Macaca mulatta: one gene and its partner. The protein of the gene in region 2 purifies or fractionates together with the protein of the main gene of each other region. This does not show direct contact. Links are inferred from orthologs where the notes say so. Each region holds a gene or a part of one and is shown on either strand. Other genes may lie near its edges.

Region 1 (6,650 bases), on a different chromosome or scaffold from region 2:
CATCATTAATAGTTAAAGCATTTAGGCCGGACGTGGTGGCTCATGCCTGTAATCCCAGCACTTTGGGAGGCCATGGTGGGCGGATCACCTGAGGTCAGGAGTTTGAGACCAGACTGGCCAACATGGTGAAACCCGGTCTCTACTAAAAATACAAAAATTAGCTGGGCATGGTGACAGGAGCCTGTAATCCCAGCTACCTGAGAGGCGGAGGCAGGCGAATCGCTTGAACCTGGGAGGCAGAGGTTGCAGTGAGCCAAGATTGTGCCATTGCCCTCCAACCTGGGTGACAGAGCAAGACTCCATCTCAAAAAAAATAAATAAATAAAATAAATAAATAAATAAAGCATTTCTCAGTGACAAAAACGAGATATAATCAGATATTAAGTACCTTATGATAAACAATTTCACTGGTGAAGTAGTCTTGCAAAAAGAGAAAAGAACACAAACCTAATTAAGCTTTTGGTTCTACCTACCAATTTATAGGAGATATACGGGACAGGAAACATGTTAAAGGACGCCATAGGGATGCAGTCTGCAAAATTCAAACTTTGGGAAGCTGACCTTACTTCAACAAATTGTAGTAATAAAAATGGAGATTTAAATTAAACTTTAGGCTGGGTGTGGTGGCTCACCCCTGTAATCCCAGCACTTTGAGAGGCTGAGGCAGGTGGATCACTTGAGATCAGGAGTTTGAGACCAGCCTGGCCAAGATGGTGAAACCCCATCTCTACTAAAAATACAAAAGAAAAAAAAAAGCTGGGTGCCTATAATCCCAGCTACTCAGGAGGCTGAGGCAGGAGAATTGCCTGAACTTGGGAGGAGGAGGTTGCAGTGAGCCAGGATTGTGCCACTGCACTCCAGCCTGGGCGACAGAGTGAGTGACACTCCACCTCCAAAAATAAATAAATAAATAAATAAACTTTTAAAGGATTAAAAGAAAGAGAGGCACATTGACAAATTATATGGGTCTTATTTGGATCCTGACTCGATGAGAAATTGGACCACTGAATGGAATTATTATTATTATTTTTTTGAGACAGGGTCTTACTCTGTCGCCCAGGCTGGAGTGCAGTGGTGTGATCTTGGCTCACTGCAACTTTCACCTCCCGGGCTCAAGGGATTCACTTGCCTCAGCTTCCAGAGTAGGTGGGACTACAGGCATGCGCCATCACGCCCGGCTAACTTTTTGTATTTTTAGTAGAGACGGGGTTTTGCCATGTTGCCCAGGTCTTAAACTCCTGAGCTAAGGCAGTCGGCCTGCCTCGGCCTCCCAAAGTGCTAGGATTACAGGCATGAGCCACTACGCCCAGCCGATATTTAATATGAAGGAATTGCTGTCTTTTTTTGTTTGTTTGTTAAGTATGATAATGGTATTGTGGTTAGGTTGGGAGGAAAAAGCTTCTTGTGTTGTCCCTGAGATACATACTGAAACATTTTCGAATGGAATATGTCTGAGTTTTGCTTCAAAATGATCTGCGAAGAGGGGGAGTAAGTTGGAATATAGATTAAATAAGATCAAACATGATATATGAATTGTTGAAAATGGATAATGGAGACTTGGGTGTTCCTCTATTTTTGTATGTGTTTAGACGTTTCTATTATAAAGTTTAAAAGTTTTTGGAGTGGACATCTATCACTATAGACAATCTAAATTAAATGCATCACACTGTTTACTACAGAGTTGTCATCTAAGTGAAGATGAAGTGTTCTTTATTTTTTTTGAGACAGTCTCACTCTGTTGCCCAGGCTAGAGTGCAGTGGCACGATCTCAGCTCACTGCAGCCTCCGCCTCCCAGGTTCAAGCAGTTCTCCTGCCTCAGCCTCCCGAGTAGCTGGGATTACAGGTGTTAGCCACCATGCCTGGCTAATTTTTTTTTTTTTAGTAGAGACGCGATTTCGCCATGTTGGCCAGGCTGGTCTTGAACCCCGGGCCTCAAGTGATCTGCCCGCCTTGGCCTCCCAAAGTGCTGGGATTACAGGCAAGAGCCAGCGCGCCCAGCAGATGAAGTGTTCTTTATCAATCTTTAATAAACATATTCAGTGTCTTAATCAAATACCTTTTTGGTGTTTTTTTTTTTTTTTCTTTTTTCTTTTTTTTTTGGAGATACAGTCTTGCTCTGTTGCCCAGGCTGGAGTGCAGTGGCATGATCTTGGCCCACTGTAACCTCTGCTTCTCGGGTTCAAGCCATTCTCATGCCTCAGCCTCCCGAGTAGCTGGGACTACAGTTGCACATCACCACACCTGGGTAATTTTTGTGTTTTTAGTAGAGGTGGAGTTTCACCATGTTGGCCAGGCTGGTCTTGAACTCCTGACCTCAAGTGGTCCGCCTGCCTTGGCCTCCCAAAGTGTTGGGATTACAGGTGTGAGCCACTGCACCCGGCTGATGTTTTGATTAAAGTTTACATTTACCATCCTGTAGGAGTATCTTTCTTGATCAGTGGTTCTCTTCCTTGGTTACGCATGAGGAGCTTATAAAAGATCTGGATATCCTGACTCTATCTTCAGAGGGTCTGATTTAACTGGCCTGTGATAGAGCCTAGGTACCTTTTCTAGGAGGTAAATTCTTAATATACTGCCAGGGTTGAGAATCACTGCTCTAGACAACATGACAGCTATTTGAATGACACCGTTTAATGGTTAGTTAGTATTTCCTTGAAGTATTGTATTTTACTGTATATACAGCGCTAATTGCATGTCTTAATAAGGTCTTGCTGAGCATGTAGTTCTATGCATACAACTGAGGTATGTATTTTCCTTTTCAGTAAGAGTTTGCTGCCTCTTTTGCCACTATTTTTTCAGAAGAGTTAAACTGGTGTAATTGTGAATAAAATAGGGCCAATCATTAGAAGTATTCAGTTTAATGAAATTGGAGCAGGCCCATTTTAAATTTTTCTGTTCAGGACCCATTTTGCTCCTGAGAACATGAGGCATGAGAAGTTACTTTGATAATAATGAGGTTTGTAAAAGTAATGAGAAGGCACTAAATAAATCATTGGTTTATTAAAATGAAATGTAATTGAAACTCTGCAAGGACCTTGGAGTAAAAAAACTGTAATTGGGAAGTTGATCTGGTGAAATCCTAACTTGCTGTGAGTAACTAACTGTCCTGAAATTTTTAGGCTGTCACCCTTGACCCAAACTTTCTGGATGCTTATATCAATTTAGGAAATGTCTTGAAAGAGGCACGCATTTTTGACAGGTGAGAGAATGTTCTGTTTAATAAATTTTCTTGAATCTTTGTTGTATTGACACTTGATAGTTTGGACCGAAATGATGACAATAGTCAATTGAAACACATTTGCCTTTTCTAGTACGTTGTTCCCTGCCCATGTCTGCTGTGTTGCCTTTTATTTATAGGTGTTCATTGCCTGAGTTTTTGTTGTTGGCTTTCCTCAAAGCCATTATCCTTCTCATTGGGAGTTCAGTTGAAATTTTTTAATTGTAAAATGGTTGAAGTGGTTTTTTCTTAGACTAAATTATTCCTTTGACCTGATTTAGAAAGCACAGTAAATCCTGACTTTTAACTTTTTGTTGTTGTTGTGAAAGGACAGCCTATTTTTTATGTGGGAGTACAAAATTTCTCACTGTAAAGACACATTTTATAAAGGTATGATTTTGGTTTGAGGTTAAAATATAATACAGCATGAATTATGTAATTACAAAGACTTGATATATTTTGATATAGTACAGCTTGAATGAGTTGTAACAAGCCATCCATTAAGAATGAGTTACATTTTGTGTGTGTGTGTGTGTGTTCATTTACAGAGCTGTGGCAGCTTACCTTCGTGCCCTAAGTTTGAGTCCGAATCATGCAGTGGTGCATGGCAACCTGGCTTGTGTATACTATGAGCAAGGCCTGATAGATCTGGCAATAGACACCTACAGGCGGGCTATCGAACTACAACCACATTTCCCTGATGCTTACTGCAACTTAGCCAATGCTCTCAAAGAGAAGGGCAGTGTAAGGATTTTTACTCATTCTATTTGTTATCTGGTAGGATTAAGAGTCTTTTCTGGCCAGGTGTGGCGGCTCACACTTGTAATGCCAGCACTTTGGGAGGCTGAGATGGGAGGATTGCTTGAGCCTAGGGTTTCGAGACCAGCCTAGGCAACATGACGAAACCCTGTCTCTACAAGAAATACAAAAATTAACTGGGCATGGTGGTGTGCACCTGTAGTCCCAGCTTCTTGGGAGGCCGAGGTGGGAGGATCGATTGAGTCCTGGGAGGTTGAAGCTGCAGTGAGCCGTGATTGTGCCACAGCACTCCAGCCTGGGCAACAGAAGACTCTGTCTCAGAAAATCACAAAAACCGAAAAACAGCAAAAAATGAAAGTCTTTTGTACAAGTATTGAGATGGTATATTGGTTTACTTTAGAGTTTTGGTTGAGGGTAAGAATACCAAAAAATATCAATTTTCTGTAGCATTACCAGCCATTAGGCTTAATTAAGCAATTATTAGAATAGTATCAGTGGAGGCTTTATGATTCTCTACAGTTTTTGAAGACTTTGTTTTGTTTTCTAGGTTGCCGAAGCAGAAGATTGTTATAATACAGCTCTCCGTCTGTGTCCCACCCATGCAGACTCTCTGAATAACCTAGCCAATATCAAACGAGAACAGGGAAACATTGAAGAGGCAGTTCGCTTGTATCGTAAAGCATTAGAAGTATGTGAGGGTGGCGTAGCTGGGTATTTAGCGTGATAGTAGAGGGAAAGCAGTTAAGTTTACCATCATCCACCTCTTTTGTAAAAATAGTGGTTGAATCATTTACAAGAGGATTATTCATTGAAATAGTAATTGAGTACCTAAGGTATGATGTGAGGCCCTATGTGACATTCCAGAAAATCCCTGCATTCAGAGTTCATTATTCTGTGGATAAGATCTGTACAAAACAATTAAACATTAACCCACAGTTCAAGAGAAGTTACTGATAAGTATATAATCTTAGTGCCTGATGGCTGTATGGTAGTGGTTAGTAGATACGGTAGGAGTTTAGCAGAGAGAGATCTCAGTGGTGTTGGAGTCAGGTGGTCAGGATAAACTAAGAGCAGAAGAGGTGTACCTCATTATGTTTGAAACAAGAAGAGGTATAAAATAGAGGAAGAGGTAGAATTTGAGAATGAATAGACTTGGAAAAGGTAGAGACAAGTTTAGGGATGTAAACGTACTTGAGCAAAGTTCTTAAGGTTGTGGTGAATTATTACTGCTGCTTTAGCAGATTTTTTAACCTCAGTTATGATCTTGACTCTTTATAGGTCTTCCCAGAGTTTGCTGCTGCTCATTCAAATTTAGCAAGTGTACTGCAGCAGCAGGGAAAACTGCAGGAAGCTCTGATGCATTATAAGGAGGCTATTCGGTAAGAGACACTAACAGCCTTATTTTTAAAATTATTCTTAATTTTAAAATGTTTGACATTTGGCACATTGCAGATGCTAAAATGGCTTTAAATAACAACAGAATAAGTTAGCATTACAGTGGGTTAAAGATTTTTGTATTGGAGAAATAAAACCTTGGGCTTCTCTTTTAGAATCAGTCCTACCTTTGCTGATGCCTACTCTAATATGGGAAACACTCTAAAGGAGATGCAGGATGTTCAGGGAGCCTTGCAGTGTTATACGCGTGCCATCCAAATTAATCCTGCCTTTGCAGATGCGCATAGCAATCTGGCTTCCATTCATAAGGTACTACTGTTTATTATAATATGTGCAATTTAACACCTAAAATTTAAGTTTTGGAAACTTTTTACCATCCTGCTTTATTTATTTTCCAGGATTCAGGGAATATTCCAGAGGCTATAGCTTCTTACCGCACGGCTCTGAAACTTAAGCCTGATTTTCCTGATGCTTATTGTAACTTGGCTCATTGCCTGCAGGTAAAGAATAAGAGGCCGGTAATTGGCTCTCAGTGTTGTAATAGCTTTTTAATTGTTATGTACCATAAGAATCCAAGCCTGACTGGAAATAGTATTTTTAATAGGCTATCTGACATTACTTTAGGCCAAAGACATACCAAATATTAAATCCTGGGATAGGGCTTTCTGGATAATAACTTCTTTTTGCTTTCTCTAGATTGTCTGTGATTGGACAGACTATGATGAACGAATGAAGAAGTTGGTCAGTATTGTGGCTGACCAGTTAGAGAAGAATAGGTTGCCTTCTGTGCATCCTCATCATAGTATGCTATATCCTCTTTCTCATGGCTTCAGGAAGGCTATTGCTGAGAGGCATGGCAACCTGTGCTTAGATAAGGTGTGATTCTTTTCTTTTAATCTTTTTGTTGTAAACTAAAACACAAATACAGAAAACTGTGCAAATCAAATCTGTGGATTAATGAATGATTATAAAATGAACACCACCCAAATTGAGAAATAAAACTTGTGAGCCACTTCAGAACCCCTTCCATTGTGTCCTGAGTATAACCCCCTGTACTTCCTAAGATGGAATCCTTAACTCCTTCACTTAAACACTAACAATAGACTGATGGTACTGTCCTTTAACTTGAAAGCCATAATTTTTTTTTCTTTTATCTTTTTTTTTCTTTTATCTTTTTTTTTTTTTTTCTTGTTTTTGAGACAGGGTCTTGCTCTGTTGCCCAGGCTGGAGTGCAGCGGTGTGATTATGGCTCACTGCAGCCTCGACCTCCCTGAGCTT
Region 2 (7,212 bases):
AACTAAGTTGATTATAGAAACTATATCTGTAAAGCTAAGAAACTGTGACTCAATCAAGAACTAGGGAGGATATCTTAGTAGGGTAGTGGGTGGAGTTTTAAGAAGATAGATTTGGCATTCCCTGTAGGATGGGCTTGAGTAGGGTGAGAATAGAAACAGAATATCTAAGGAAATCCAGAAGGAGGGTGGGGATGATGAGAGAGATGCAAATACACATAACAAATTCAATCAATAGACATGGGGACAAAATACTTTCTGGGGAATTATACTTGTATAATAATAATAAACTATCTGTATCTGTGGAAGATTAAGAAGTAGGAACCACAACATTACAATCCCTACCTTTGAAATTAAAACCTGGGGATAGAGCTCCTGAAATCCAAAGTAAGGACAGTTGGATTATCTGGCCTAGGAGGGTCTGAAAACCAGTTGGGGCTCCAGGACCAAACAACAGGACTGGGTGGTAAGCTGTACTCAACTCAACAGTCAGGGATGGAGAAGACCTTCTTTTCTCTTTTCTTTCTTTCTTTTTTTTTTTTTGCGACTGAGCCTTGCTCTATTGCTCAGGCTGCAGTGTAATGGCACAATCACTGCAACCTCTGTCCCCCAGGTTCAAGTGATTCTCCTGCCTCAGCCTCCCGAGTAGCTGGGATTACAGGCGCATGCCACTGTGCCCAGCTAATTTTTGTATTTTTAGTAGAGATGAGGTTTCTCCATGTTGGCCAGGCTGGTCTTGAACTCCTGGCCTCAAGTGATCTGACTGCCTTGGCCTCCCAAAATGCTGGGATTACAGGCGTGAGCCACTACACTTGGCGAGAAGGCCTTCTTAGACTACAGAGATAAGCTTTGGAGGGAGGTGGTACATGCTACCTGTGTAATGGATAGGGCTATGAATTATCAAAGACATTTCAGAAAATATATCCATATCAATTGCTGAAATTGGCTGTTTGATCCATGACTGAAGGGAAATATAAGGAAGCATCTAGATACTTCTAGATGGCCTCTCAAACTCCCTATCTTTTTCTTTTTTTTTTTTGGCACAACATATCCTTTTTTTTTTTTTTTGAGATGGAGTCTCGCTGTGTCACCCAGGCTGGAGTGCAGTGGCCAGATCTCAGCTCACTGCAAGCTCCGCCTCCTGGGTTTACGCCATTCTCCTGTCTCAGCCTCCCGAGTAGCTGGGACTACAGGCGCCCGCCACCTCGCCCGGCTAGTTTTTTGTATTTTTAGTAGAGACGGGGTTTCACCGTATTAGCCAGGATGGTCTCGATGTCCTGACCTTGTGATCCGCCCGTCTCGGCCTCCCAAAGTGCTGGGATTACAGGCTTGAGCCACCGCGCCCGGCCAACAGATCCTTTTTGAAAAATAGAGGAAAAGTTATGAATCCTCTTCTCAAAAAATTCACATATAACACACAAAATATAGTTCATAGTTTTAGGGAGTCCATGAACTTCTGAAATGCATCCATAAACTTTAAGCAGTGCTCTCATCTGTCTTTCCTCCCAAGAGGCAATCCAATCCTCAGTCCTATTTCACACTATAGTAAATTTACTAGATTGTTTGGAAGCAGCTTCTGGAAGCAGGTGGATTGGTGAGATCAGCAGGTGTTACCACATGCTTCTTACTTTGCAAAGTATCAAGGCGTAGATGATGTAAGAGAAGATGCCACATTCTGGATCTTTCAGAAGGCTGTTATGGATACTACAAATAATGGTCTCTGACCACAGAAATGTCTGAATCATTCAGCAAATATTTACTGGGCGCCTGATAGGTACAGGCACTATGCTAGGGACTGAGCTCATCGAAATAAAGACGACACCATTTCTGTCACTGATGAGTAGCTTCACATGTAAAAGCGTGGATGCAGTTACCAGGGGCCTTAAAAACAGTCACCTAAGTTTGAGGCTTTCTGGGGAGATGGAAAGGGCTCTGAGCTGGCAATTTGATATTTGGTGTCTCTACATCCCAGACTTGTGAGTTTGGCAAGTCACTCAATCTCAGTTGCTTCGCCTATCGAATGGGGTTAATAGGTAGATGAGAATTGTTGCCTATCTTCAAAAAGATAACCTTTGTAAAAATGCAAATAAATGAGAAAACACAAACGCAGAGCTTATCTAAAGTGATAGTTGGCAGAGTCACCCACTGAGGTAAGAGGTCAGTTCCCCAGGTCTACACAGCCCATGCAGCGCCTCGCACGAGGCGGGATCAGTTCAATAAGCTTTCCCGGATGGAACAAGTTCCGCTTCCGCAGGCAGATACTCGCTGTAGGTGTGAGCGTCGGCCGTCAGACGCCAGCTACTGCCGGGGCCTCCCTCGCGCGCATGCTCCTGCGGAGAGGCGGAGACCGGAAGGGTGGGGGCGTGACGAGGTATCGCAGACTGCCGGCTCGCTCGCTCAGCGGCCCGGCTTGGGAGGCGGGGGCGCGCCCGCGCTCGTTCGCGCGGCCGGCTGCGTACAGTAGTGACGGCCGCGCGGGAGCGGTCACATGACCGTAGCGGCAGCCTGTACAGTAAGAACCCAATATGGCAGCGGCGGTAGCAGTGGCAACGGCAGCAGGAGGACCGGCCGCCCCATAGACCCCCCCGCGCACCACCCCGCCGCTTCCTCTGCTTGGGTGCCCCCCCGGCCTGACTTCCCTTTTCTCCCACCTTTCCCGGCACCGCGGGAAAAGCAGCGCAGGGCAGAGCAGGCAGGGAGGGCGGCCGGAGCCCGGACACGGGAACCTCCCAGTCAGTTCAAGACCCGACATGAGGGAAAAGGGACGTAGGAAGAAGGGCAGGACCTGGGCGGAGGCCGCCAAGACGGTAAGGGGGAGGGAACGAAGGGGAAGGCCGGGAGGATTTCGTTCCCTTGTCGTCCGCCAGTCGCAGGGGAAGGGAGGTCACTGGCCCAGAGACCCGGCTGAGGGGGCACAAAACCGCGCGGAGAGGGCGGCGGTTAGTGTCGGGGTTGCGATCCCTGTGGGAATGGAGGCGCCCGGCGGAACGCGATAGCTGCGGGGCCGTGGCTTCTCTCGGCGTCTGCGGCGAGTCCTCAGTGTTTTGAGGCTGTCTCTTGGGGTCACGTCGCTATCACCTCTGCTCTGTGGTAGCCCCCGCCCCGTCACGGGGAAGTCTGTGGTGCTTGCACGGTAACCGGTTCTTCTCCCTTGTGCGGCTGGAGAGCCCCCATTGGATGCAGATAGAAGGCTTGTGCGTGCATCCAGCCCCGGAAAGGAGAGGGGAGCGCTGGAGCTGGATAGAATTTACCCGTTACAGCGGACATGCCTATGACCCCGGGCCCCCTGCTTGTCTGGCTCCCGGAGCAGACGTGAGATCACGAGGCTTTTGTTTTTGTTTGGTGTTGGAGCCGAAAGTGCAGGAGGTGTTTAGAAACGAAGTAACAGGTGGGACTTGTAGAATTTTTTTTTTTTTTCCTGTTTCCGTAGAGACCTACTCCGAACAAGGCAGCAATGCATGGTGGGACGTGTAGTTTACCCGGCCTTCACTTTTCCCTAGCCAAAGTGATGGTGGCCTAATGAAGTTGTAATTAGTGGGCAAAACAATTTTTCCCCCTAATTCTGTTATGACGAAATGTAGAGGTAGGTTTTAAAAAGTGGACTATTGAGGATTAGTGAGAACTTTTACCATATTTTAAGAAGAAAAATTTAAAAGCATGTTGTATGCAGAAATGAAATGGTAGGAGATAGTGAAGTTCATTCCATCGTTGAGGATGCAGCAGAAAAGTAATAGGGCATTAAACAGCATTTTAATAGTGGAAAGTGAGAGGTGTTCACCCCTTTAATGGTGAATCATGCCAGTAATACTTCGACAACATAGCCCTTCTTAGTGAACCCTTATGTCATATGGTTTATTTTTTAATGAGGTTTTTTAAATATGAAAGTAATGTTACTGTGGGGAAATTTGGAAAATTATAAAAAAGAAAATTAAAAAAAAATCACATTTATTTCACCCCTCGTCTGTATCTGCTAACATTTGGTATATTACCATCTAGTCTCTTTTATTTATTTCCTCAAATCTAGGTCATACTGTTTATTCAGTCTTGTGCATTTGTTTGTAAACTTTGCGCATTTGTTTTGTAAACTTTATGCATTAGGAGGTTGATGAGTCTTCAATTTTTATTTCTCTTAGTTGGAAATGTAAAAAAGTTAAGAAATAATAGCACATTTTACTTTTCTGGGTGTTTTCACTTACAATATATCTTGGTATATCTTCCTGTGCTAGAAGTTTCTCTCTAAAAGATAAGACTCCTATACTTTTTTTTGATGGTGTAGAGGTTGCTTCCCCACAGAGGACTATTTTACTCTCTACTTGGTGGATACCTGAAGACCTCTTTCTGTTAATAAAAGAAGCATGATGAATTTTAATTATAGGTAAGCAGACCTGGACCCTAATTTATGCTAATTAATTTTAAGTTCCTAGGATCTTTAAATTTTTTTTTTTTATTAAAAATATTTTGTAGGCCGGGCGCGGTGGCTCAAGCCTGTAATCCCAGCACTTTGGGAGGCCGAGATGGGCGGATCACGAGGTCAGGAGATCGAGACCATCCTGGCTAACACGGTGAAACCCCGTCTCTACTAAAAATTACAAAAAAAAACTAGCCGGGCGAGGTGGCGGGTGCCTGTAGTCCCAGCTACTCGGGAGGCTGAGGCAGGAGAATGGCGTGAACCCGGGAGGCGGAGCTTGCAGTGAGCCGAGATCGCACCACTGCACTGCAGCCTGGGTGACAGAGCAAGACTCCGTCTCAAAAAAAAAAAAAATATATATATATATATATATATATTTTGTAGAGACATGGTCTTGCTCTGTTGCCCAGGCTAGGCTAGTCTTGAACTCCTGGGCTCAAGCAGTCCTCCTGCCTTGGCCTCTCAGAGCACTAATATTAGAGAAGTTTCTAGACTCTTTAGAGTGTTTTTTGCATTATGATTCCTTTGATAAAATAGTCATTGGGAGATTGTGACAAATAGGAAAAATTAGTCTGCAACTACTTACCTTTTCCTATGTTAGTATATTTGCTCATTTCATGCTCTAGCTAGCTATGTGAAAAATAGTATTTAAAAGATGGAAAGACTACTTTGATTAGTAGAGTTCCTGAGGGGACCAGTATATTAGTAGCTTGGTATTTTTCTTTGATTCTGGCAAATACATAAAGCCCCAGTCTCAGTGAAAATGTGTTTTAGAAAGAGAATGATGACACTAAAGTTTTTCTTTTTCTAATAGCCAAAATCTAGAAAACGTTCTTAGTTTTGGAGGGTTATTTTATTACCTATAAGTGAGGGAATTAAACTAAATCTCGGTGTTCAAAATATTTATGTTTTTAGGATAAATAGATGAAAATAAAAGAAGGACTAGGCAAAGGTACATTTGTAATATTTCAGACTGCAGAATAATGAAATCAGAAAATTAGTGAGTTGACAAACGAAAGTAACTTTGACCTAAATAAGAATGCTAGTATTTAGATACAAAGGAATAGGAAAAGAGGTTTTAAGGCTTAAACTTATTTCTTACGCATTAGGATGTCAAGTGTTTGAGGAACAGTTTCATCAAGGAAGCAAGGGTCTCTTATTTCATGTGTTTTTGGTACCTCCATTGTAGAGCTATCATGTTTTAGAGAGTACTATTAAAATAGGGTTGTTTTCCTGACCAATAATATAGCAATAGATATATTCAACACAAAATGTCAGTATGTGATACTGGGATGATATGGGGTGTGTGTATATATGTGGAAGTGCTGCATGGTTTGATGTAAGGTTAGTATAAACTAAACAAAATAGTAAGATTCATAATAATAATTATTATTATAATTTTATTTCTTTATTTAGAATGGGTTTTGCTGTATTGCCCAGGCTGGAGTGCAATGGCTTCACAGGTGTGATTGTGGTGCGCTAAAGCCTTGAACTTCTGGGCTCAAGTGATCATCCTGCCCTAGCTTCCCAAGTAGCTGGGACTACAGGCATGTGCCACTGTGCCTGGCTTCATAATTATTATATAATAGTAGATTATGCCAAAAGGCTGATAAAATAAACTTGAATGTATACACTGGCTCCAGTAACTAAGGATACCAGGGAAAGGTGATGGAGCTGCGATTCAGCTGATCTTGAATGCGTGTTCACTACACTGGACTGCCTCCCTGTTGATCTTAAATTTGTCTTACTTAAATATGCTAGTTATAAAAAGCATTCTAGTATTTAGTTAGCAGTTTCACATGTTTTACTCTTTTTTATTTTGTTTTTGAGACAGGATCTTGCTCTGTCGCCCAAGCTGGAGTGCACTGCCATGATGGCGGCTCATGGCAACCTCAACCAACCCCTCAAGCAATCCTCCTGCCTCAGCCTCCTTAGTGGCTGGGACTGCAGGCATGCGCCACCACTCCCAGCTAATTAAATTTTTTTTTTTTTTTTTTTTTTTTTTTTTTTTTTTTTTTAGAGACAGAGTCTCCCTATGTTGCTCAGGCTGATGTCAAACTCCTGGGCTCAAGTGATCCTCCTGCCTCAGCCTGCCAAAGTGCTGATATTATAGGTGTGGTCCCCCATACTCAGCTGCATGTTTTTAATTTTAAGGGCAGTAGTGATGGTGGTAATGAATTATTTAAGTGAGAGATAAATAGTGTAGTGTTTAGTACAATTTAAATTGAAAAACTTGTAGCTAACCAGGGATATTGAGAACCATTACATTGACTTTATTTTATTTTTTGAGCCAGGGTCTCACTTTGTCACCAAGGCTAAAGTGCAGTCTTGTGATCAGGGCTCACTGCAACTTCCATGTCCTGGGCTCAAGGGCTCCTCCCTCCTTAGCCTGTGAAGTAGCTAAGTACCACACACGTGTGCCACCATGCCCAGCTAATTTTTTGTGTGTGTGTGAGATGGGGTCTCACTTGGTTGCCTAGGCTGGAATGCAGTGGCGTGATCTTGGCTCCCTGCAACTTCTGACTGCTGGGCTCAAGCAGTCCTCCTGGCTCAGCTTCCCAAGTAGCTGGGACTACAGGCATGTGCTGCCATGCCTGGCTGATTTTACTTTTTGTAGAGATAGGGTTTCGCCGTGTTGCCCAGGCTGGTCTCAAGCATCTGTACTCAAGTGATCTGCCCACCTCGGCCTCCCAGTGTGATGGGGTTACAGGTGTGAGCCACTGCGCCGGGACCACAGCTAAGTTTAAAAATTTTTTTTGTGGAGACGGGGTCTCGCCAAGTTTCCCAGGCTGGTCTTGAACTCCTGG

The links.
Region 1: the proteins of ASXL2 (region 2) and OGT purify together in Homo sapiens (affinity purification with mass spectrometry; 3 studies listed by BioGRID and IntAct, with this or other methods). This does not show direct contact. The link is inferred for Macaca mulatta from reciprocal best matches to the Homo sapiens genes ASXL2 and OGT.

The regions. Positions count from the first base shown.
Region 1 is NC_133426.1:78,035,452-78,042,101, forward strand, and holds part of OGT (UDP-N-acetylglucosamine--peptide N-acetylglucosaminyltransferase 110 kDa subunit), read left to right. Parts: intron 1-3,120; coding exon 3,121-3,200; intron 3,201-3,766; coding exon 3,767-3,962; intron 3,963-4,524; coding exon 4,525-4,665; intron 4,666-5,255; coding exon 5,256-5,356; intron 5,357-5,527; coding exon 5,528-5,681; intron 5,682-5,770; coding exon 5,771-5,872; intron 5,873-6,068; coding exon 6,069-6,248; intron 6,249-6,650. UniProt on the Homo sapiens protein: Catalyzes the transfer of a single N-acetylglucosamine from UDP-GlcNAc to a serine or threonine residue in cytoplasmic and nuclear proteins resulting in their modification with a beta-linked N-acetylglucosamine (O-GlcNAc).
Region 2 is NC_133418.1:99,117,919-99,125,130, forward strand, and holds the start of ASXL2 (putative Polycomb group protein ASXL2), read left to right. Parts: upstream 1-2,506; 5' UTR 2,507-2,747; coding exon 2,748-2,804; intron 2,805-7,212.